4 linked regions of the Daphnia pulex genome follow. The protein of the gene in region 4 binds, or shares a complex with, the protein of the main gene of each other region. Links are inferred from orthologs where the notes say so. Each region holds a gene or a part of one and is shown on either strand. Other genes may lie near its edges.

Evidence for each region.
Region 1: DNA-directed RNA polymerase III subunit RPC3-like (region 4) and DNA-directed RNA polymerase III subunit RPC10-like share a complex: the UniProt entries of both Homo sapiens proteins name them as parts of the RNA polymerase III complex. The link is inferred for Daphnia pulex from reciprocal best matches to the Homo sapiens genes POLR3C and POLR3K.
Region 2: DNA-directed RNA polymerase III subunit RPC3-like (region 4) and DNA-directed RNA polymerase III subunit RPC5-like share a complex: the UniProt entries of both Homo sapiens proteins name them as parts of the RNA polymerase III complex. The link is inferred for Daphnia pulex from reciprocal best matches to the Homo sapiens genes POLR3C and POLR3E.
Region 3: DNA-directed RNA polymerase III subunit RPC3-like (region 4) and DNA-directed RNA polymerase III subunit RPC9-like share a complex: the UniProt entries of both Homo sapiens proteins name them as parts of the RNA polymerase III complex. The link is inferred for Daphnia pulex from reciprocal best matches to the Homo sapiens genes POLR3C and CRCP.

What each region holds. Positions count from the first base shown.
Region 1 is NC_060019.1:12,452,572-12,457,395, forward strand, and holds DNA-directed RNA polymerase III subunit RPC10-like, read left to right. Parts: upstream 1-2,086; coding exon 2,087-2,413; downstream 2,414-4,824. Other genes in the region: feline leukemia virus subgroup C receptor-related protein 2-like, read left to right, coding at 1-110, 232-335, 409-519, 595-886; yrdC domain-containing protein, mitochondrial-like, read left to right, coding at 2,490-3,170; pleckstrin homology domain-containing family M member 1-like, read left to right, coding at 3,225-3,645, 3,738-3,865, 4,009-4,744, 4,816-4,824. UniProt on the Homo sapiens protein: Core component of RNA polymerase III (Pol III) which synthesizes small non-coding RNAs using the four ribonucleoside triphosphates as substrates. Can mediate Pol I proofreading of the nascent RNA transcript.
Region 2 is NC_060017.1:5,952,567-5,959,306, reverse strand, and holds DNA-directed RNA polymerase III subunit RPC5-like, read left to right. Parts: upstream 1-2,838; 5' UTR 2,839-2,995; coding exon 2,996-3,037; intron 3,038-3,101; coding exon 3,102-3,203; intron 3,204-3,259; coding exon 3,260-3,414; intron 3,415-3,479; coding exon 3,480-3,667; intron 3,668-3,730; coding exon 3,731-3,903; intron 3,904-3,967; coding exon 3,968-4,172; intron 4,173-4,227; coding exon 4,228-4,454; intron 4,455-4,533; coding exon 4,534-4,694; intron 4,695-4,755; coding exon 4,756-4,936; 3' UTR 4,937-5,083; downstream 5,084-6,740. Other genes in the region: cellular tumor antigen p53-like, read right to left, coding at 1-202, 270-411, 492-849, 918-970; histone H2B-like, read right to left, coding at 1,700-1,936, 2,013-2,075, 2,134-2,223; putative sodium-coupled neutral amino acid transporter 10, read left to right, coding at 5,757-5,864, 5,955-6,072, 6,166-6,339, 6,416-6,522, 6,641-6,740. UniProt on the Homo sapiens protein: DNA-dependent RNA polymerase catalyzes the transcription of DNA into RNA using the four ribonucleoside triphosphates as substrates.
Region 3 is NC_060023.1:11,612,763-11,618,131, reverse strand, and holds DNA-directed RNA polymerase III subunit RPC9-like, read right to left. Parts: upstream 3,015-5,369; coding exon 3,007-3,014; intron 2,942-3,006; coding exon 2,905-2,941; intron 2,835-2,904; coding exon 2,751-2,834; intron 2,684-2,750; coding exon 2,531-2,683; intron 2,467-2,530; coding exon 2,380-2,466; downstream 1-2,379. Other genes in the region: serine/threonine-protein phosphatase alpha-2 isoform, read left to right, coding at 100-791, 996-1,139, 1,217-1,324. UniProt on the Homo sapiens protein: DNA-dependent RNA polymerase catalyzes the transcription of DNA into RNA using the four ribonucleoside triphosphates as substrates.
Region 4 is NC_060018.1:10,221,935-10,228,988, forward strand, and holds DNA-directed RNA polymerase III subunit RPC3-like, read left to right. Parts: upstream 1-2,857; 5' UTR 2,858-3,035; intron 3,036-3,123; 5' UTR 3,124-3,252; coding exon 3,253-3,411; intron 3,412-3,471; coding exon 3,472-3,599; intron 3,600-3,657; coding exon 3,658-3,788; intron 3,789-3,844; coding exon 3,845-4,118; intron 4,119-4,182; coding exon 4,183-4,548; intron 4,549-4,618; coding exon 4,619-4,811; intron 4,812-4,876; coding exon 4,877-5,047; intron 5,048-5,127; coding exon 5,128-5,274; 3' UTR 5,275-5,463; downstream 5,464-7,054. Other genes in the region: uncharacterized protein LOC124188665, read right to left, coding at 8-286, 353-742, 801-997, 1,065-1,647, 1,736-2,294, 5,611-5,639. UniProt on the Homo sapiens protein: DNA-dependent RNA polymerase catalyzes the transcription of DNA into RNA using the four ribonucleoside triphosphates as substrates.

The sequences.
Region 1 (4,824 bases), on a different chromosome or scaffold from region 4:
TTGTCACTAACAAGAATTACATTTTGCTTTTGATTACGTACGGAATCAATGCCGGTGTCTTTTACGCTATGTCTACCCTGCTCAACCAAACTGTGCTTCGACATTTTCCGGTATTTTAAATTTATATAGGCTATACCTCACTGAATTATGTCAAGTTTAAAATGACAACATTATTGAGTATTATTTTATGTCAAAGAAATGCACGAAAAAATAATCGTTTTTTTATTTCAGGGTGAAGAAGAAAATGCGGGTCGGATTGGCTTGACGATCGTCGTCTGCGGCATGTTCGGCTCGGTAGTGTGTGGTATTATTCTTGACAAAACGCACAAATTCAGGTAAAAAAAGAAAATGCGTGATACTCTATTTTTGCAAGATATGCAGCTGACTTTTGCGTTCTGTTTTATTTAGGGAAACAACTCTTGTGGTGTATGGATTAGCAGTGGCCGGAATGGTCGCCTACACCTTTACGTTCGAACTTCAATATATCGTCATTACGTTCGTCACGGCCGGAGCTGTAGGGTAATAAGCTTTTTTTTTTAAATATTACTTATGTGTTCTAAAAGATTTCGTAACATTTGTGATAATTTGGTTAAGGTTCTTTATGACTGGATATCTGCCTGTTGGATTCGAGTTTGCAGCTGAATTGACGTACCCTGAGCCAGAAGTGACGTCGTCTGGTTTACTGAATGCCTCCGCCCAAGTATTTGGTATCGTCTTCACAATCATCGGGGGTTGGCTCTTGAGCAACTACGGCGATTTGGTCTGTAACGGAAGTTTGTCGGCAGCACTATTTTTCGGCGCTGCTCTATCGCTGTTCATCCGTTCGGATCTCAGACGCCAAAGAGCCAACCAGATGGAAGCGTTTCGAGCAAACGAAGCTATCTAAGTGTCATCAATCGACTCTCTGAGCTTCACCAGTAAGAGCTTTGCCTGTCTCCAAGAGATGCCACATTTGCCTCACGCAATTTCGAACAAGTTGATTTGCTTATTGTTATAGATATGTAGTTAGGTAAACTTTGTGTCACTGTATTATCTGCCATTTCAAAATGTTGCTTCCTTCAATGTGATTGGCTGCTGCACAAAGTTTGCGGCTATACCGTGAATCCGTTACGACGATTTCAATGGGGGAAAAAAAAGTAAAGTGATTGATAGTTATAGACTGTATGTATACTTATATATATAGCTTATAGCCTCTCTCTTTCGGTTCCGGTCTAAAAGAGTTTACATTTCTGTGTTATTACTAATGTAGTAAAATTGCTGTCTTCCGTACAATGCAGGGAATGGAAAGCAAAGTTCAAACCCAAGTTAGCTTCATTACAGAGTATTATGCATTCGATTCTTTATGAGCCTTTGACGTTAAAGTTGTTTTCACTTTTCACCACGACCCATTTTAAACTGACCAAATCATTTGGTTTGGATGATGTGACAGTTAACAATTATTGCGCCAAATAAAATCTAATGCCACCACGTTCACGTTTTTTTTTTCACCAATAAAAAAGAAGGGTGTGAAACCCCTCCCCCGAAAAAAAAGGTGGGATCCCCATCAACTACTATCACTTTGCTATTGTGGGCTTGCCACAACATCAAATTTTATTATTTAAAAAAAAATACTTAGCTTATTTCCCAAAAGGGGTTTGGGGAGTGAATTTTATCACTGATATGAACAAAGAACAAAGTTCATGAAATAAATTACCTCTTACTATGAGTACGAGGTTATAAATTATAAATTATAAATCTTGACAACAATAAATAATTTGTTTATTTATCGGCAATTCGCAATTCGATTTGGCGCTTCGAACTTGGTCTACGTTACCACGACTTGGCAACGCTTTTTTCTAAACAGCTGACGAAAAAGCATGGGCGGAAGTATGTTGGAAAAAGGGGACGACATTAATCGAAGCAACATTTTTCAACGGGTAATTTGCGATTGTTAGAGGTAAAATTCCATCACTATGATTATTATCTAACATTCTCAAGTTACATGATGCTTGATTTCCCTTGCAGATATAAATGGTGGCATTTTAAACTCTGTATTATGGTACGAAGTTTTTGAATGAGAAGACATTGATCTTACGAAGTTATCAAAATGTTGATGTTCTGTCCCACGTGTGGAAATCTTTTGGGTGTTGAAGAAGGACCCAAGTGTTTCCGATTCTCTTGCCGTACTTGCCCTTACGTATTCAACATTAATCGAAAAGTTAGCAGCAAATCATTCCCCAAACTTAAGGAAGTGGATGATGTATTAGGAGGAGTTGCTGCCTGGGAGAATGTGGATTCCACTGAAGCAACTTGTCCCAAGTGTGACCATTCAAGAGCTTACTTTTTGCAGATGCAGACACGATCTGCAGATGAGCCTATGACCACCTTTTACAAGTGCTGCAACCACGAGTGCTCCAACCTGTGGCGTGATTAGACACAACCTGCCTTCAAACCCCCACTTTCTTTTTTTCATGTTAAACTCAACTCATTATCGCCTTTAAAATTGTCAAATGATCAACCCAGTCATCCTCCTTGGGCCCAAGAACTCCGCAGCCATCCTAAAAAATGCAGTGGAGCTTCTGAAATCGGGCAGTGTGATTGCTCTTCCAACAGACACTTTATATGGGATCGCTTGTCTGTCCCAAAGTTCAGAAGCTTTGAAAAAACTTTATCAAATCAAATCGCGAGACAAGAATAAACCGGTTGCTATTTGCGTGTCGCAAGTTAGCGAAATCGCCAAGTGGGGACACGTTACAGTAGATGAACGTCTACTGCACGACCTTTTACCTGGACCCGTCACCCTTGTGTTCGAAAGAAGTCCTGCCTTGAATCCTGAACTCAACCCCGGAACTAAACTTGTTGGCATTCGAATTCCGGACTCTTGGTTCATTCGTCAACTGGCAAATAGCTGTGCTGAACCTTTAGCGTTGACTAGCGCCAACATCAGCGGATCTCAGAGTACTCTATCGGTGGAAGAATTTCTAGGGATTTGGGAGCATCTCGGGGCTGTCTTCAACGGTGGCCCTATTCCAGACGGCTCTACCGCTCGACTAGGATCTACTGTTGTCGACTTGTCGTCACCTGGCACCTATCGCATCATTCGTCCTGGCTGTGCTCAAACAATTACAGTGGAAAAGCTGAAGAAATACGGATTGGTTGAAGCTAGTGAACCAGCGTCTGAAAACGTTTAGCCCCCTCTTCTTGTCTTTAGTGCTTATGTGAGTGTTGATTCTGTGTATTGAAAAATGTGGAAACGCCAGAAGACCAGAGATGACATGAATTACGACGCGCTGATCAAGACGGCACTGACGGGCCACTTGGGTGAAGCTGTGCGAGAGGTGCAACGTCAGCAGCAGCAGCAACAACAACAGTCAACAGCGGTCGTCGAAGGGAATAGTGAATCGGCTCATACGCTGTGCTGTGTCTTGGAAGCTCTGTTCGTTCACCGCCTACGTGATTCATTCATCGACAAGGTTTCCAGCGTCTTCTCTGGTGATGTGATTCGACAACCGTCGCCCAACTTTTGGCCTTTCTTGCTCGGGTTCTCTCATCGACATTCGGTTGACTACTTGTCAGATTCTTGCCCGTGGTTGAGGTCTGACATTGGCCGATGTCGCGGATGGATTAGGCTCGTCCTCAACGATGGAATGCTCACCAGCTACCTTGGTACGTTCACTTTAACAACAATCATTTTATTTTGAATAAGGAGATACTTACAATTTGTTTATTTCTATCAATCTTCTGTGGTTCCCAAATAGAGCTGCTAGCTGGGGAGCGTCGACTTCTCAATGACTTCTACGATCGTCAAGCGTACCTCCGTGATCCTGAGCATCTTGATATAGCTAGAAAGCTGTTGAGCGGCATAGAAATGCTTCAATTTCGTTTGGTAAATTACTCGTAAACATGTCCACATTCCATAATCTAGAGAAATAATTTCAACTCAGAAGTTTTGGTTCAGAAAATGAGAAGCAATACATTTTTTGGTTTTATTTCCTGATCATGACTGAGTATCTTTATTTCTATCATCAGGCCGTCAATAGTAGCATGTTAAACAACTGGAGCACGACCCCTCTGCTTCTGGCTGGGCTCTGGTCACCGCCTACCCCACTGGTCCAAGAGGCTGTCGTACAGGGGGTCGATGCGGCCTTGTGTTTCACCGATGAAGACGAGACGTTACAGCCCATCAAGCAAGCCAGCAAGTTAACAACGAGCTTGGCGTCAACCAATGTACCGAAGCTCGATGAAGATATGGCTTTTCGTTTGATAATTGAATCAGATAGAAATATACCTAGCGGTATGCTAGCCCCATTGGGATCTCCGTCTGTAGCAATACCACCCGCCTTAGTCCCTCCCGTAGAAGAAGTTCGTCTCTCACAATCCCATTCATCGTCCCGTGTCGATGATTTGCCGGAGGAAGTTGATTCGCAAATTGTTCTCGTCACCCGCCTACGGATGAAAAATAGTCGGTCTACAAGCCCAGCCGTGCTGGAAGAAGCTAAAGTGAACGTACCTGTCGCTCCAAGTCTCCCAAGCACTCCGCCACAATCGTTGTCGGAAGAACTTGCGGCTGCCGAGGCTTTGACTGATGCTGTGGGTGACGAACAAGAAGAGACCGAAGAAGAAGCTTCGACTTTTGAAGATTTGTTAGAAAATTACTCCAACTTTAACATTGGCAGCAACGCCTTGACCAAATCGCCGAATTATTCGCCAACTGAATCGACTACAAGAGATAGTTCTCCTGAAGAGAAATTCGAGATCGTTTCTGGTAAATTCATTCAAATCACCCAATATGAGAGTTGGAAATTTATTTGTGATTTTATTTGATTTCGATTCCAGACGAAAAAA
Region 2 (6,740 bases), on a different chromosome or scaffold from region 4:
CAGCTAGACAGGCACATGAATTTGTAACACAATGACACTGACTGGGTCCCGGGAGCAGGAGGCTTCAGTGGAACGACAACCGAATGCCGCATATCATTGTGATCGACATATGTTGAATCATTGTCATCACAACGCAATACATGTGGAGTATAGGGCAACGGTGGACCAGTCCCCTTGTGGGCTGGGCACCGTTCAACGGGATCTATAGGAAGAAAATTTAAATAAATTGTTAAAAGGATACAGAGAAACGTTTAAATGTTATTATTTGCCTTGAAAGTGATCAGCCTTTGAATACACCATTTGTCCCCGAATGCAATATCTGTGGAATTCCTGTGAAAGGTTATCCATTCTAAAGGAAATTGGGCAGGCCTTATCCATACTAACAAACAGCTTCTTCAGTTTTGTGGAATACTAAGAAAAATAATGTATGTGTCAAATATAACATATAAGGAACTGTGTAAATTTTAAATAGCACAACATGTTTGACTTACTATCCATGGTGTTGCTTTAGTTTTATCCTGAGCTTTACTAAATTCAACATTGAAATTTTGATCGCCCGGCCACAATTCCATTGCTGGCACTCCATTAGGGACATCAAAAGTTGGACTGGTGTTTATCGATATGCCAGGGCAATTGTTAATGGGATAGGTAGTTGTGTCCATTAGTTGCTGTTGCTGATAATGTTGGAAATGGAATGCATCTGTGCAGAGGTAATTATTTTCCTCCTCAACAGGATGAGCATTCGTGTGCTCAACATAATTTGAGGGATTCTCAATGATTGATTGAAGTACTTGATTTTGTGAATTAGTTAAAGGTAAAAGGTCAAATGACATGTCTTCATTTTCTTGGCTGTAATAGTTAAGAGATTAATTAACTGTTATGCTTAAAAAATGTCACTTCAAAATTAAGCACTTCACCTGTTGGTGGTTTCCCAATTATGACCGAAATAACCCGGTGGTTGACCATCCATATCAAATAATTATTATAAGCTTAGTCGCTAAATAAGAAAAGATGATGAAACAATCGAAAGGCACGATAATGTAAGCAACAGGTTGACGAGCTGAGCTGTGGTCACTATTTGACGTCTTGACTTCTACTGAAGTAAAAAACGCAAACGCACCCCTCCTCCACCTTGCGCGGAGAAATTTAGGCAAGTGCAGACTTGTCTTCATCTTTATCTTTACAGTTTACACTGAATAGTCTTCTCCCACAAATTGCAGCAGTTTATTTAATATAAATAAAGCTTATGTATAATATTATTCAATAATTGCCATACATGAAAACATTCGTTTAGTCGTGATTATTTTTAATTCTATACTTCAAACTTCGAAAGAGATGTATAATTTGCGCGGATTGGCGCCATTTTCAAACATTGAAATTTGAACATTTCTATTTGTCCATCCAAACGATATTCATTCAAGTAATCATTGGAAACAAATTTAAATTGTGAAATTAAGTAATGTATTATTGCCAACTCAAAATTTATGTACGTAGCGCGAATGATCACATAGTAATAATAAATCACAAGTCACACATTGTTTGAATCAGCAAAGATGAATAGTGATTTCCCCACCTCAAAAGTTTTACAACACTACGACAAATGAATACAGCTATGATCGATGTAGATAATTATAGAAGATATAAAAAAATAGTCTAATAAAAAAAATTGAATTGTGGTCGACCCACTCGGAAGTCATTTTCACTTTGAACTGGTGTACTTGGTGACAGCCTTGGTGCCTTCCGAAACAGCGTGCTTGGCCAACTCGCCAGGTAGGAGGAGACGTACAGCTGTTTGGATTTCACGACTGGTAATGGTCGAACGCTTGTTGTAATGGGCTAGCCGCGAAGATTCTCCGGCAATCCGCTCGAAAATGTCGTTCACGAAGCTGTTCATAATAGTCATGGCCTTGGACGAAATTCCAGTGTCGGGATGTACCTGCAGAAAAGTTTCATCGATTGTAATTACACGATTATACACTATAAAATATCACGAAGAGAAACAAAACATTTACCTGCTTCAAGACTTTGTAGATGTAAATGGCGTAACTCTCCTTCCTCTTCTTGGTACGTTTGGTCTAAAGAAAACAAGATGTGAATCAAACTCGTTCAAAGTTTATAACACGAAATTCTTACCTTTTCACCAGACTTGTTGAGACCACCCTTTTGAGTCTTTCCTGCCTTTTTCGCTGCTTTTCCACTTGTTTTTGTAGGTGACATGGCCATTTTGATGATATTCTTAACTGGAACTCGACTGTGAGCTGATAGAATCTGGGAAATTCTGCTACAGAAAACCTAGACGACGTTGGTTTTTATACTCTTTCCCCCCATTTTTCGGACAAAGAAAACTCCCTATTTGCAGTCATAACTCCGGGGTACAAACCCATCCTCCTTCCACTTTTTTGTTTTCAGACGTTTTCTTACTCTTCCTCTAACCTCAAGTTAATGGATTTGTTTAATTCATTTAAAAGGGGATAATCTTTTTTCTCAGAAAGAGAAATAAACTATGAGCAAACTCTGTCTAGCCACGAGGTATTTTTTCGTTAGCCTTCCACGAATTCATATGCATTTTTTAAAGATTTTTTAAAGAAACTATTTTTTGTTAGGGCATATTCCGATTATTAAGTTTAATTGAAAAAAAATCATTTTAAACCTATTCAAAGCAAGGTCAAATGAGCTCCAATGAAATTGTTGTTTGCCATACTGAAAATAAGTTAGCCAGCCAAATAGGTTTTTAAAAATAAATATATGTTTATAAAATCTGAAGAAATGCATACAGCATTTATTAAATTTCGTGTCTATTAAATAATTTCGATGATTTATCAAATAGGATTTAATATGACCCATTTCCAGCAGACGACTGCCTCCCCATTTCACGATTTGAAGAATAATATTGTGCAGTGCTGTCTGCAGAGAATTTGCTTTCCCACGTTGTGGGAGTGATATCTATGATTTGTGATATCTAATTTATAATTTGGCGTCTAGAATCTGAAAAAAAATGTCAAAGTTAGAAGAGGAGAATGATGAAGTTGTCAGAGAGGTGGGAATTGGGTGTTGTTGCTGTATTCGGCGTGAATGTTCTCACATGTTTATGATTTTTACAGATCCCAGTCTTTTTGTCAAAGAATTTGCTTCAGAAACTCTATGTTTTCCAATATCCACTTCGTTCTGTTGCAGTTGAAATGGAAAGACCTCATGTTGCTGCTGTAAGTATTATATCTTGCATGCAACTCGATTTCAATATTAATGTGAAACATTTCAGTCAAGGATTAAGCCTAAACTTCAGGAAGTTGAATTAGAGCTTGAATTACCAACACATACACAAAATTATGATAGGAGCAAAGCTGAGCAAATTGTTATTAATACAGATGGACAAAATAAATATGATAAACCTGATCATCAGAACTTTTTCAGCGGGTAGGATTGGTTCGTAATATATTTACTTCAACAATATAATAAGTGTTTTCTTTCTTTCATGAAAGTTCATTTATGGATAAAATCACCTATTCTTCCACAAAAGCACTTTTGGATCCAGGAAGGTTTGCAGTTGGCATTGTAGTTGATAATGAACTTCATCTCAATCCATTGCATGGAATTCTACATGTAAAACCCAACTTTCCATACTTGGACAAATCTGAAAAAAATCTAAAAGATACTGATGAACCAACAGGTTAATTTCTTAATGCCAGAAGCATTGTTTCAAATTTATTAAAGTTCTTTGTGAATTTTATAGAGTCAGGTGATGAGGAAGAAGTTGCTGAACAAATCACTGTGAAATTTGCTCGAACTGAAACAGACAGAAGCAAAGCCCTCAGAGAAAAGTCTTTTGGGTTCCTCCAAAAAAAGAATGCAGAAGAACCCTGGTACAATACCAAATTCTATTCATTAAATTCTGAGGAATCCATGGTATTTATATCACAGTATTAAAGGTTATATAATCAATAGAATTATTGTTTGATCATTTGTATAGTTGGAAAAAAACCGTCTCATCTGTGGAAAATCGGATACAGTTCAAAATCTAACCATGGCAAAAGATAAATACATCAGCGATTTGATTGGCCCTAGCCTAGAGATTGATGAATTTCAGAAACAACTTACGTTAGGAAACGCGTCAATGTTTCAAATTCTTAAACTGCCTCAACTTGTAGATAGAATTAAAAATCTCATGGCTAATGGTAACTTAAATGTTGAAATAGTATTACCACATCGATAACCAATTTCTATCTATAGTTAAGCTGATCTCGTTCAGTAAGTTGTGCAGTACCCTAGAAATCAAACAGGAATCTGTTAAAATGGAATCGCTGAAATCGCTGCAACAGGTGGCTGAGTTGGTCCAAGGTAACTGGGTTGTCAAGAGCGAAATCCTTTATCCGAGCGGAGAGAAAGACAAAACGGTTAAATTGTGTGGAATTTCCGGAATTCATCCTGATATCATCAGCAAAGCCAGGGATTATGTGGTAAATAGCCTCCTGATGATTTGTTTTTTTCCTGGCGACTGTCATAAAGTTCTAACATTTATGTTTTGATTTGATATAGTTGTACATGTTTACTCTAAACCGTTGTGTGAACCGAGAAGCAGTCACTATTGCGACTAAAATTCCTACTGATGAAATGAAAGTTATTCTGGAGCAAATTTCCTTCAAGACCAAGGACGGATGGGAATTCAAATTGCCTTTTGATCAAGCCTTTGTTGACAAGTGCGTTTCAATTCCTTTCCAATGATTTTTGTGTTTTAATGACATTTTATTGCGAAAACAGGTATCCGGAAGTGGTTAGGCGCAGCGAATTGATGAATAAAGCTAAGCAGAAGCAACTTTACAACGTCGCCGAATTTAAAGCTCCGAAGAAGGAACCCACCGATACAATAAAGAAAAGAACAAGGCGACGCTCTCGACAAGATTCGTGCAGCTCAGACAGTGGAAATGACGTTAAGAAGTAATCGCAGTTGAACATGAAAAAGCGGATATTAAAAATCTTCTAGTACACTTTTTCTACCCTGCAACAGTCTCGCTGTTCATTTCATTGTTTTGACCTTGATTGTTCAGTTCGTGCTCTTGTCGAAAAATGAAATGGTTGACTGGCGAAAGTAACTGTATCTCTTTTCTACTTTTGATTTGTACGTAGAAATCTCAAACCGTACCAACAAAAATAACTGCAAGCCTCATCCACATTTTCACAAGCCCTCTGGAATATAAAATTTCGAAAGGATTTTTTATTAATATGAAAATATGTACACTTTTTAATCCTGGAACCTGGATCTACTGATCTACTCTAAGCTTTTTCATGCGACTGTTTTTTTTTTTCTTGTAAAATTGTTTGTGTTAATAATAAAATACGGAAACGATACATCCTCATATAAGTTTTTCTGGTTGTTTTTGCCACGAACTCAGTTTTGTGTTATCAATGATAGGTTAGGCAACCGTCTGCTAGAACTGATTTTAAGATTAGATCGTAGATTATAAACATCCTGGTTGCGTAAACCGATACAGCAAAAGAAAGGGGAGGAGCTTATTACAATCGTCTGAAGAGTTTGTTTACTGCTTTAAAATCAAGTTTTACACGTCAGTCATTTTTACACGTCAAACAGTCAAAGAATGTTGCAGCAAATATTTTAGATACTATATAAAAAACTATATGTGAGTGCTGAGAATTCAATTTCCTTAAATGCTATTGTGAGTTTGTTTCATTAAAGTTGTTATACTAAGAACATTTTCACGTGCGTACCTACGAGACAAGCACCATTGACGATTATCAGGAAAATGATTAAACTTGATTCCTTTCTGTCTGGGAATGCTAAACACACAATGATGTTGGCCAATTCAATTATTGGTGCAAGTATTTTGTCCATGCCATTCTGTTTCAAACAGGTATGCATATACCTATGTTGTTATTTTTATAGTTTATTTGGTTTTCCGATTCAACATTTTAAATAATTATCTTTGAATTTTGGCTTACAGTGTGGAATCATCTTGGGCTCTATAATACTCTATTTAAACAGCATTATGACAAAACTTTGCTGTCATCAACTTGTCAAATCCTCTTTGATTTCGAGAAGGAGGAACTATGAAGTTTTAGGTATTATCAAACAACAACAATAAACTAAAGATGAAGTTTGGTTGAATTTTTCCTTAAACCTTTACCAAAATAATTCTTTTCATTCTATTTTAGCTTATGATGTTATGGGGCCACTAGGAAAACTATGGATTGAAGTGTGTATCATAGGCTACAACATGGGTTGCTGTATTGCTTATTTGGTCGTGCTTGGTGATCTTGGTCCAGAGATATTAAACAAAATAGGACTGAATTATTCATTTCATTCAGCACGAATACTTCTCATGGCAGGTACGTGTTTGTGTTTTACTGTAATGTAATATTAGATTTCTCTATAATACCATTTTAATGTCATGGAGCAATGTAGGTAGCAGCATGTTCATCATATTACCTCTCAGCCTCCTGAGAGATATTGAAACATTGAATGTTATGTCCACAGTATCAGTAGCCATGTACATGTTGTTGGTCCTGAAGGTAATGATTAATAAAAGAATGAAGATACATGCACATATATATATAATATGCTGTGCCAAGTAAGTGTGCGAGTTATAAAAAATCTGTATTGAATGTTTTTTTTTGTTTTTTTATTCAGTCCTTCTTTGAGGCTGGAGTCCAAGGTCTCACCGAGGGAATATCGTCGAATATTGAAGTGTGGAGATTTGGTGGTGTACTTCAATGTGTTCCAATATTTT
Region 3 (5,369 bases), on a different chromosome or scaffold from region 4:
AAGCTAAAGCTGTATTGGAATTCTCCATGACTAGTTTCGGCCAATGTTAAACAACAAGCCTTTTAAGATTTCGATTCTATTCCTTTGTTATTTCATTAGTTCGTGGCTCCAGACCCGGGAAAAATGTCCAGTTAACAGAGAATGAGATCAGAGGCCTGTGCTTGAAGTCTAGGGAGATTTTCCTTTCGCAGCCCATCTTGCTGGAGCTGGAAGCTCCACTCAAAATCTGTGGAGATATCCACGGTCAGTACTATGATTTGCTGCGTTTGTTTGAGTATGGAGGCTTCCCACCAGAGTCCAACTACCTCTTCCTGGGTGATTACGTCGATCGAGGGAAGCAATCTCTCGAAACTATCTGTCTGTTGCTGGCCTACAAGATTAAGTACCCAGAGAATTTCTTCCTGCTAAGAGGCAACCACGAGTGTGCCTCTATCAACCGTATCTACGGCTTTTACGACGAGTGCAAACGGCGCTACAATATCAAGCTATGGAAGACCTTCACAGATTGTTTCAACTGCCTACCCGTGGCGGCCATTGTTGACGAGAAGATCTTTTGCTGCCACGGCGGTCTCAGTCCCGATCTCCAGAGCATGGAACAAATTCGCCGAATTATGAGGCCCACAGACGTACCCGATCAGGGTCTGCTTTGCGATCTTTTGTGGTCTGACCCTGACAAGGACACGATGGGCTGGGGTGAAAACGACCGAGGAGTCAGCTTTACTTTTGGTGCGGAAGTTGTTGCTAAATTCCTTCATAAACACGACATGGATTTGATCTGCAGAGCTCATCAGGTAACCATTTTTTGTTACTTTTCTTTTCACTCGATTGCCAAACCGTCATTGGGGTCGATGTCACGTTTTCTGATGAAACGTGTCTAGATTGCAATATTGTGTGTGTGCAGTGAAGCACGTGACAACTCACGCCAAACTTTCAATCCAAAAGAGTAACGTTCACGCATCTTAATTAACCATTGTTAAAATTCGCTCTTTTATCAGGTTGTTGAAGACGGATACGAGTTTTTCGCAAAACGTCAGCTCGTGACCCTCTTTTCGGCACCCAATTATTGTGGCGAGTTCGACAATGCCGGAGCTATGATGTCAGTCGATGAAACGCTGATGTGCTCTTTCCAGATTCTCAAGGTAACGTTAAGCAAGCACGTACACTCATATCCGTTACATTGACACTTACATCACTTTTTCTTTTGACGTGTTTACAGCCAGCCGATAAGAAGAAATTTCCGTACGGAGGCTTGAACACCGGCCGACCCATGACGCCCCCACGAGGTGGACCGCAGGCCAAACAAAATAAAGGAAAAAATAAATAAATCTACTACCCGCATCCCTTTATGTCCGTCTGACAGACGGGCAATGTTTGACTAGCGTTTAGGAACAAAAAGAAGCAAAAAAAAAGAAAAGAAATCGAGGTCTTGAATTGGATGTTTCACCGACGAATTGTTATCATGAACCTCCAAATTACACACAAAAGTAAAACAAAAAAAAAATTACACAAGTTATTTTAAGCGTTGCAATCGGATGGCTTCGTGCGAATGCTGTATCGAAATAAAAAAAAGGGGGGCAGAAGAGGATCAAGGGATCGTCGATGGGGGGAGGGAATTGTATTACTAAAAAAAAGAAAGGATTGGTTCTACCAATTGTACCTTTTGATTTCATTCTTGTGTTTTTTTTTCTTTCATTCTCCCTTTTAATCTTATCACAAGTGACGAACTGTAAAGCGACGACGATGTAGTTAAACTTCCCTCCTGGTCCTGAAAAATAGCCGAGTTCGAATTTTCTTTCTTCGAACCCCCCAAACCCCACCATTTGTCATGTGTCTGTTGTGTATTTAAGAAAAAAAAAAGTCCTGAAATATCTCCCACGTCTTTTTGTTTTTTTCTCTCCGACCCCCTTTACCATTTACTCTTCCTCCAAGGAGTTAGCACTCGGGCGATATACACACAAAATATGTTCTCCATATTGATTCTGTCCATCTTATTTTGATCCCGTCATTACAATAAATGAACAGAAATGTGCAACCAAAATGACAATCTTATTTATTCAAGTGATGTCTAACCTAGAATCAAGTTTGGTTCACCCCGGAATGAATCTTCTGTCAAGTGTTTCGAATGTTTCCGTCGTTATCCTGCTGTTAATGGTTAGGATGTTGGAAGGAATGTTGATCGACTAAAAACAAATAAAGATAAAATAACGGCTGTCGAGAAACCTTGATGGATAACGGTGGTTTCGTTGGGCACATGGTGTAATGGTTAGGCAATTGAAACATTTCGCTGTCATCTCATGCTTTCTCGGATTTAGTAATTTGTTTACATTCAGAGTTGAGTTTTTAACGAACGTGAAAATGAGAATCGGGGTTAAAACAAATTTATTCTGGCAAAGTATTTTGAATGAGTTCTATGAGCTCCTCAATTTGTTCTTCAGTCAACCGTTCCTGATCTGTAGATTGGACAATCTAAAAAGGTTTGAATCACTGATTAAGACATGGACAATTCTAGTGGCATGCATAGCTTTTATACCAGTGATATTTCAACGTCAGTTTTAGGCCTCAGATTCAAGATCATGGTTTTCTCTTTTTTAGTCAGTCCAAACTTTTTCACATCCTCGAGAAATTTCTTGAAGCAACCCTCAGACTGTACTGCAGCTGGCGTGCCTTCAAGATATTTTATGGCCTATAGGCAAAAAGAAACTGGTGAATCGAAGCAGATACACATTGAAATCATTTGAAAAAATCCTTACTTCATACGTGATGGTGGCTAAGGACCCACTTTGATTCCTGGTTTGGTCTCCTTTGACTCTTGAACTGTTCAAAAGTCCCAGAACCTTGAAGAATGTTAGATTACAAATAAATTATTCAAAGCCACACATTCTCCAGTAAACAGGTTTTACCTACCTCAAAATTGCTAAGTATAGCCGTGTTTGCATCGATTCTGTAACACAAACAAAAAATGGGGTTGAGTGGAAGTTCATGGACAAATTTATACAATTAGCTTACATTTCCATTTCAATTACGATCAGTAGCCAGAAATGCTTGAAGATTCCAAACACGAGCAGATTGTTTTGAAAAAAATGCACGTTTTTTTAGAGAACTTTTCTTCACGCTGCAGTTGTAGGCAACGATGTCATTTGGAAACCGCGGTAAAATTATTTCGATTTCAATTCAGTTTTATCAATTCTATCTATTTAAAGAAATTTTGAAAATAATCCAGCAAGTATTATGTAATTTTCGTTTGATCAAAATTATCTTGTGGTTTTTAAAGGCACGAAGAGGAAGCAACGCTGTAATTGCTGTCTGCTAAATATTGGTAAACATTCTCTTTGGATGAGGTTTGCAATGTTGAAATCATGTCGTTGCTTTCAATTGCTACCTTGATTATTCAAAGAAAAAAGCCGACCGCACCGCAATATCGCAAGGTAAAGGTGCCCTATTTACTCTCTTTAGTATTTGAAGGTTTTCTTTGCTTAATCTACCTCGTGGGCATGTTTATTTCGTAAGGTTGATTCACCATAGTAAGCCATAAAAGATATATATGTTATCTTATCGCTTATCAGCAAGAATCATAGACCTATTACAACTACAGGTGAAGAATACAGGCAAGGCATAATCCTAAATTTTCTGTTGATGTAAATTATATTCTAACAAAGTAAAAAAAAATTGTATAGAGCAATGGATAACCAACCTAGTATTGTTGAAGCAGATGCTGTTCATCATAGGTTGAGTAATCAAGTCAATACAGTCAAAGATTTTCCCTATAGATGCTATGACTGCCCACAGTTATTTACTGCATTGGAAGACTTGGCTCAGCATTCCATTAAAAACCCAACCCACAGTGAAGAAATGTGTTTAAAGTGCAAGAAATCCATTGTTGTATTCTTTACATCTAAATGTGCAGTGAGAATTCACTCTTGTAACAAATCTGATGTTTGTCACAATCATTCAGATCTTCACTTTCACAGTCAGTTCCTTTTTACCAAATTAAATTCATCAGGTTTGATTCCTGATTACACTGTTATAGGATGTGACCTTCAGAGCTGTGAAGCTAGTTTTGATTTTTCAGCCAATGGTATCTTTAAGTATTTGAAACACGTCAACAGATACAAGCACACAACTGTTCCCGATTGCAGAAAATGTGCGTTACCAGAATTCCAATTAAGTGTCGGAGGAGAGAAAACCATTTCCCACTATTGTGTCAAAACTGGAAAAATTATCTGTGTTGGGAAACCTGTATTATCAGTTTCTAGTCGTTAGAAATCGTTCTTTTTTGCGCCTGTTTATCATGAAATGTTTTTTCTTTTATGTTTAACTACTTCCCTATCCTCCTTATTAACAAAAAAACCCGCGATTTACATGTCTACAAATTGACACACCCAGATGTTTTTGTGATGTTTGGCAACAATGTTTAGTCGTTAAGGAAATTTCTAATGTTTATCAACAAAAAATTCGGGACACACGGGAAAAAAAGAATACAGATAAAAACATTGACCTCTATTCATATATGGCGTGCTGAATTATACATATGTACTGCTAAGCTTTATGGTTTGACTGAACACGCCCGTGTTCAGTTTTCCTCTGAATTTTTTCAAGTCTTTGCTGGACTTTGGAAGAATATAGATGGATGAGTATTCAGGCGGAATTGAAGGTAAGAATTATTTCCCTTGACCTCCAGACATTTTACCAATGCATATTCTCAGAACGGCGTGTGATCTTTTACAAACCAAATATTTGTTTAGTAGTTCAAAATACTTGAGCAGTTTTTTTAATGACCTAGAAACAGATGCAGTTCATCATCGATTGGCTGGAGAGTCCCCAGCTATAGAGAAGAATTACCAATGCTACAACTGCAATCAGTCATTCTGTTCCTTGGTAGACCTTGGCAACCACTCCCAAAACTTACCTTGGCACAGTGTGGAGATTTGTTTAAATTGTACGGATCCCATCACAGTGTTTGTACAGAAATTTCCATTTAAAGTTGTCCGCCTTCACACATGCAAGAGGTCCCATCTTCGCTACCAAAACTCAGACCTTCACCTTCTTTCTATTCAGATTTCTAAAATTCTTTGCTGGAATGAGAAAACACAGCATCAGTCTGTGATTTTTTGTGATACCTGTAATGAGTTGTTTTCTCAGACCCCATTGGGTCTTTTCGAGTTTTTAGTTCATTCTAATTTAACTGCACACAATGTGATTCCATCAAGCCACTGTAAAAAATGTACCATGCCTGAATTCAAACTGACTGGTAGCAATTTAGAATGTTGTATTGCCCATTTTTGCACCAAAGATTCCAATTCAATTCTCAAGGAACTTATTCAAAAGAATGTTCAAAAGATTGAAAAACACAGTCAGACTAAAAAATAGTC
Region 4 (7,054 bases):
TAGAACATTAGGAATCCGTCTCGCTTTCGTCGGAGGTGGACACTCGATCACCGTTCACATCTCCGTCAATGCAGAGATAGGTGTCTACAAACAAATGTAAGTCGAGTTTGATGTTTCGTTGGCGGCAAGTTTTCTTGAGTTGATTAAAATCACCAGAACATCTGTATTTAATATCTTTAAAGAGAGAAAGAGAGCGCAAACATGGAAGATGTGCCAGTATCTTCAGTCCCATATCAACAGTGAATTTCCGAGGCATCTTATACTTGAAGCTGACTAGATGAGGCCACTGTAAATGAAAACAAGTGTAATTATAAACAATCTTAAAATAAATGTTTGAATATTCTTGTCATACTTGCAGAAAAAGTTCGATAAATTGCTCATCCGACTGTCCAACATGATGCAAGCATAGGACGTCGATATGTTTAAGGGTAGACTTCTTTAGAAAAAGTTCCTCGAGTTCGGAGTTCATGCAGAAATCCAATTGCACCTCTTCTAGCTTTGGCAAAAACGTCTCGGGGATCAGATTTGATTTAGTCTCTACACTGAAATAGCTTTTGAGCGGTGGGTGAAACTCGGTAGAAAGTTTGAGGATCTGAAGGTTGTCGCACGAAATAAGAAAGTCGAATTTCGGGATAAAAACGCCGTCCAAAACTACTTCGAGCGCGGTTAGGAAGGGCGCCGTTGCTTGCGTGATCACAGAACATAGTGGACCATCACTCTCCGTACAAGTTAAAACCCTTAACTAATAGGGCACAAATTAAAATTTCAAAAATAATGCGCAAACATTTTAAAATTAATACCTTATTTAATTTGTTGAAATCATTTGCTATTTCTAATAATGTGAATCCATTTTCTGAAGTTTTAGTTTCAGCAACGTCACGAACACTTGTTTCAAGGAGATGAAGTTTCTGAAGATCAGGACAGAGTTCGCACATGCTCTTGAGATTCAAGTAATCCCTCTCACCTTCAACGAAAAGACTCGTCAGAGCCAACTTTCCTGGATTCGTAAAATCATTGTGATTATTTGGTTGAAGAAAGTTGCGAGTTACAATAATAATTAATACCTGAAAATTCTTTTAGCACAATAGAATCTGAATTCGAGGGAAGAGATAACTCCATGCTTTCGTCGGCAGATGACTCTCGATGCATTCGATTCTGAGTATCCCACAGTGCGCGAATACTAGTAGTGTAGTCTTTGAATTCAAAATCAGATGTTTCAAGCTTTTGTAAAAGCGGCAGGTGGCGTAGAATGAAGGCAATAACATATGGCTCATTACTGCTGAAATAATTTATCCGAATTTCTTCCAAGGTTTGGCAGAATGAATATAAGAGATGAGGCGGCACACAACATTCATTGTAAGCCTTTTTCTGTTCGGTGGCCGGGTTTTGGTCGTGTTCGATTGAGGGAACATCTGGAGTGACATTTCTCAGCAGGGTCAAATCACCACAGTAGAATATACTCAAAAATTCGTCGATAGAAAGAGGTAAATTATCGAAACCGAGACGCAAGGACTTTAGACGCGGACAAGACTTTCCCAAAACGGAGATGATGGATTTGCACTGAATGGGAACCTTGTCTAAATGCAAGCTTGTCAGAAAAGTAAATTGGCTGATGTAAAAACCAATGGTCTCTGGCCAGTCTTGCGCCTAATAATTAATAAAATAAGTACATATCTTAAGTTATCATTTGTTTAAAACATAATTTTATGTGTCACTTCTAAAACGTAAAACCTACCAAGCCGTTTGAGCAATGGAAGTGAAGTTTCCCAAGATTCGGGCAGCGCTTGATGATGATCGGCAAAATGCGATTATCAAAACATTCACATCCATCCTCGTCCCTACAAGGAATCTCGACGAGGTCCATGTGATCGTCCAAGATAACATCAAGAAGGCGAAAAAGACCCACTAGATCTCTGGCCTCTTTTCCCTGACTCTGAAAATGTTTAAGTAGTCGAAGACGCATATCTTTATTTTTATTTGCGTCATATTGGCCTAGTTTCTGATTTAGCTCATTACGAGCGGAATGAAGTGGTCGTTCTTCATCGGCTGATCGGAGCAGGGCGTCAACCATGCAAAAATAAATGTTTAACATTTCGTCTTTGTTTTCCTCCTCCAATCCAGGCGCAGATGCTTCTTCGGACGATGAAGGTGTTGACGACGGTGGCGGTGTTGTCGTCGTCGGAGGTTTCGGTCTCATGGCCCAGCTACCTTCATAGGCACCTTCTACGTCTTGACTAGACTTGCGTTTGCGGCTATCACTTAAGTTAGACACGGCGATCGGCCTCACCACCGCACTGCGTTGAGAAAACAAAAAGATATGAGTTCAAAGATAGGAAAACTTCATAAATTAAATTATAAATTAGACAGTTTACTGATGCATCCAATTTTTCTCTGGCGAAAACAAAATTAAAATTACATTTTTTATAAAATCAATAAAACTTACGAAGAAAATGTCGCTATTATTAATCAAAGTTAGATTTTATTCCAAACGGCTGTTTTTCGAATACGAAAGGCGGCATTTTTTTTACACGAATGATTGCCACATTTTGTTGATGAAACACATTTTTGAATAATAAAAGACACTTGGAAAATTGTTACTAAAACACTTTTGCACTGTAAGCGTAGCCTAAACGCTAAACTTTACACTAATAAAATTTTGGGGTTCAAGCGCCTTTTGGGATGCACTTCACGTGCCGAATGCCTCATACACAATATTAAAAGGTGAACGCAAATTCTCTTCCCGATGTCCGACGGCCATTCACAGCCGAGTTTTATAAGTGTTTCAAGGTAAAATCTTGAAGAGTATACCTCGACCAAGGTATAACCGTGTGCAGTTTTGGCTTTTTGGAGCTCATTCTTTGATTGTTCGTAGTATAGCCACGTGCCGTTTTTCATCCTCGCAAAAAGGGGTTGCTTCCCAGTTCCCACTGTGACCTTGTACTTTGATTTGTTTAGACTTAATGGGAAAAACATGAAATTTTACACATCAAGGTCTTTCATTGATTGAGGACTAAGATCCCCGCTCAAATGCGCAGGTAGTGGAAGTTCACGTGTTTAATTTTTTATAAAACGCAAAATTCGATTTCTAATTTTTGGTTGCATTTGTATCGTTTGGCAACGCAGGAAGTATCAGTATACCTTGCTGCAGACGAACATTTTGAGAAATACTGTTTCAAAAGTTGTAGTTTAGTGGATGTTTGAAGAGCACATGTTCTTTAGATTCCGAAGGAACATAACTAATCAAACGAGAAAATGTCATCGTTTACATTAGGTCACTTTAGCCAAGTATGCAGCCAGTTGTTAAACCACTACTATGGAGAAATTGTCGGCCAAGTCGGATCCTATTTACTTAGGCGAGGCAATCGTATGTTGACCGACATACGTACTGCAACCGGCTTGTCCATTCGCGAAGTGTGATCAATTTTAACTATATTAAAGATACACTTTCTAAAAATTCTGCATTTTTCATAGGTTAAGAAAGCTTTGGCTGTGATGATTCAACATAACCTAGTCAAATTCCAAGCAAGTGAACGGAATAACAATGTTGCAGAGTACTCAATGATGCATCACAATGTCTACTGTCTCATTAGATACCCAAAGTACATTTTTCTTATATAGTGGTAATTTCCTTTTAAAATTTTACAGTTGACTTTGCAGGTATCTATACATGATTAAGAGGATTTATGGGACATCGGAAGAAATTCTGCTAGAGATCTTGCTAAATCTAGGACAAGCAAGTGCTTCCAATGTTATTTTCCATTCAGCAAATAGGCTGAATGAAGCTAATGGTATTTTCAGCCCTGATTTTTGTAAATTACAGTAACCATACTTATATTCGTTGTAGATAGTGAAGTTTTAAGTCCCTCAGCCCTCCATCAAAGTTTTCAAAGACTTGCCCAAGATAACTTCATCATTAGATGCCCAAAGCTTGCAGAAAACGCAACTTTACTAAAAGTGCCCACACTTGAAATTGAAGAGAAAGAAAAATTTGCTGTTCCAAACGTGGAGATTGAACCTATAGCCAGAATGCTGAAAGAAAAAGCAACTCAGTTAGGCGGACATTGCGACAGCGAAATAATTTGGCGTGTAAATCACGAACGATTTGACATTGAATTGAGGTAGAAATAAATTTATCTCCACCCTAAATTGCCATTTTTATTGTATGTAAAAAATGTTTTTTAGGAATGTGATTCTAGTCAATGCTGCTGCCAGAAGAGTGGATACAACAGCTGGCGAATTATACCATTTAATCCTCAAGCTCTGGCGCGAAAGTAGCAACCCCGATTCACCAGCAACAACTCCCGTATCCTACAACGTAATTAAGGATGCCGTTAGAAAAAACGACAGTAGTCCGATTTTGTTGGAACATTTCGATCACTACTTGAGAGTGCTGCACGAGGATTCTGCTGGTTTGATTGACAAACCGGGCGATGCTGGTGGCGGTCAATTCAATCTTGACTATTCGAAAGTTTTCGAAAATTTGGCTTGCGCTTCGTTGGACTCGATTGTACTAGAAAGATTTGGATCGAAAGCTTTACGACTCTTTAGGTGGATCAGAAATTTTAAAAATGGTTCAGGATATGCTAAAACATTAAATCTTCTTGTTTCACACTCTTAGACTGACTCGGATTCAGAAGTTTATGGAACAAGACCAGATGCAGAATGTTGCAATGATTCCGGCCAAGGAAGCCAAAATGTTCACCTACAAATTGCTGGAACACAACTTTCTACAAATCAAGGAACTGAAAAAGGGGACTTCCAATTTTGCTCCGGTCAAATCCTTCATTTTGTACCACGTCGACTTACCTCAGGTGAGAACGAAATATAAATACCTTGATATGATGCTGTGTAATTGCAAAAATACTTCCTTGCACAGGTTGTCCGGACAGTACTGGAAGCGAGTTACAAAGGCTTATTTAACGCTATGGTACGGCAAATGCACGACTTGACAGAAAACAAACGCCTGCTTGAAAAACATGCCATGTTGGAATCAATGCTTGAACGTCTAAAAGGAGATGATGGAGTTCCCGAAGAGGAAATAGCAGAAGTTAGTATTTCCCATTTTCGCAAATCTCTTGATTAAAATACTCCCACTGTTTGACTTACGAAACTTTTCTATTGTAACAGTTATCCGATACGATGCACCCTGCCGAAAAGTCTTTAGTGGAAAAAATTCACTTAATGAGTGATAATCTGACGTTAGGACAAACCCAGGCAGACGAAACAATCCTAATATTGGAAAGTTATTTAAAGTTTAAATCAAAGGAATTGTAACATTGGGTGTCACGAATCTGACGTTGTCTGGGTTTGGGTTTTGGATGTGAAACTGCTGCGTAATTGTCGAAGATGTTCAAGAAAGCAATCAAGGATCATCCCTTAACCTAACTCATGTCATGTGTCGCTCGAAATTGTCTTGGATTGTAAAATTTTGTTCGAGAATAATAACTAAGAATTTTTCAACATAAGTATTTGCAGAAATGACTCAGTAAAAAGAAAACCAGCCGTTTGTAGTCGAAGAAAAATTATCTAGAGCAACAGCAAAAGGCGCGCTTTGTGAAATAGACACCCTCAAGGGAATGAAGAAAAAACATGTAAATAAGCAAAACTTACGTTATGGGGCTCGTTGACAATTTTGTCATTGTGTCACCTTATCGGTAGAAAATTAAGAAACAGTGTAATGCGTAGTTGGCACAGGTTTATAAGCACTCAAAAACTGACCACCAATTGTTGCTTGTCGAATGACAGATTCTCGATAACACGCCAGATAGGAACAATTTTTGTAAAATATGTCGATTGCTTGAGGGAACCGCTATAGACTAGTCTGTATGGGAAAAAGCTACACGTGCCGGATGCTAGACATTGCCCTTGACTGTCTACAGAAATATCTCGAGCAATGTCCGCTTCGCGCCTTTTTTTTCTCAATGACACGATTAATGATTGACAACCGTGCCAATTTTTTGTTTTGATCACCAAATTTCCCGAAGGGATTCTAGTCACAGTCGAAGGAGGCTAAGTTTCGACACGCCACCGCTGCAATTCAAACTGCAAAATTCAAATGCATAATATCGACACTTAAATTTACGTTATTGTGACACCAATTACGCAAATTTTTGTATGCATTAGATTAAACAAGGAAATCTCTTCAAAATGGATCACATATTACGAAGATAAATAAGCTGTATTTTTTAAAACAGCGATTCTAATTCAAACGGGGCTCAGTTTCGAAACGCCACCGCTGCAATTCAAACTGCGAAATTCAAACCGACACTAAACATTAACACAAAATTTACGTAAATGTGTTACCAATCACGCAAATTTTTGTATTAAAGAGATTAAACAAAGAAAGGTCTTCAAAATAGACCACATGAAGATATACAAATAGCTGTATTTTTTACACAGCGATTCAAAGTGGAACGGTCTCACTTTCCCGGCTTTGATGTGCGTCAACCCAAAAGCTATAGTTTGCAGGCCTTCAAGAAGCGAGTTGGGTTCTTGGGTAGCAGTTTTTACAACTGTCCGGCGGCCTTGTATAAATGGAGATCCCTTACCTTGAACAGAAAAACGTCAGGTTTGTTTGTTTACGTTTAACGTTTAACATGTTATTTTAAAAAATCGTTATTAATAATATTGTTTTCGTTTCTTAGATTATAAATGTCTGTGTTTCAAAGATATTTTTTTAAAAATTTGCTCTTGAATTCCTAACCCAGTGTGGATGATTATCGGAACTCCTACATTGAATTACCCTCTGGTAAATCATAATTAAACTGATTTCATCTAAACATTTTCTGTATGCTTTCATTTTTCCCGTATAGGTTCGATGCAAACCACCAGTGTATCATCTTTCAGTGGAATGTCTGCATGATTCCAACTTGTTCGCTCTCCTGCTTCATGTCGTGGTCAAAAGTTTCTGTGCCTTGGACTTTACACACCCTACATCTGGAATGGAAGAGCTGGAAACAGTAAAACTTTCTGTTCTTTTGTTGTTAAAGCCACATGATCCTAGTGACACTAAATCAGAATCTTTCCAACATGCTCTTGTTGCTCTGCATAAATT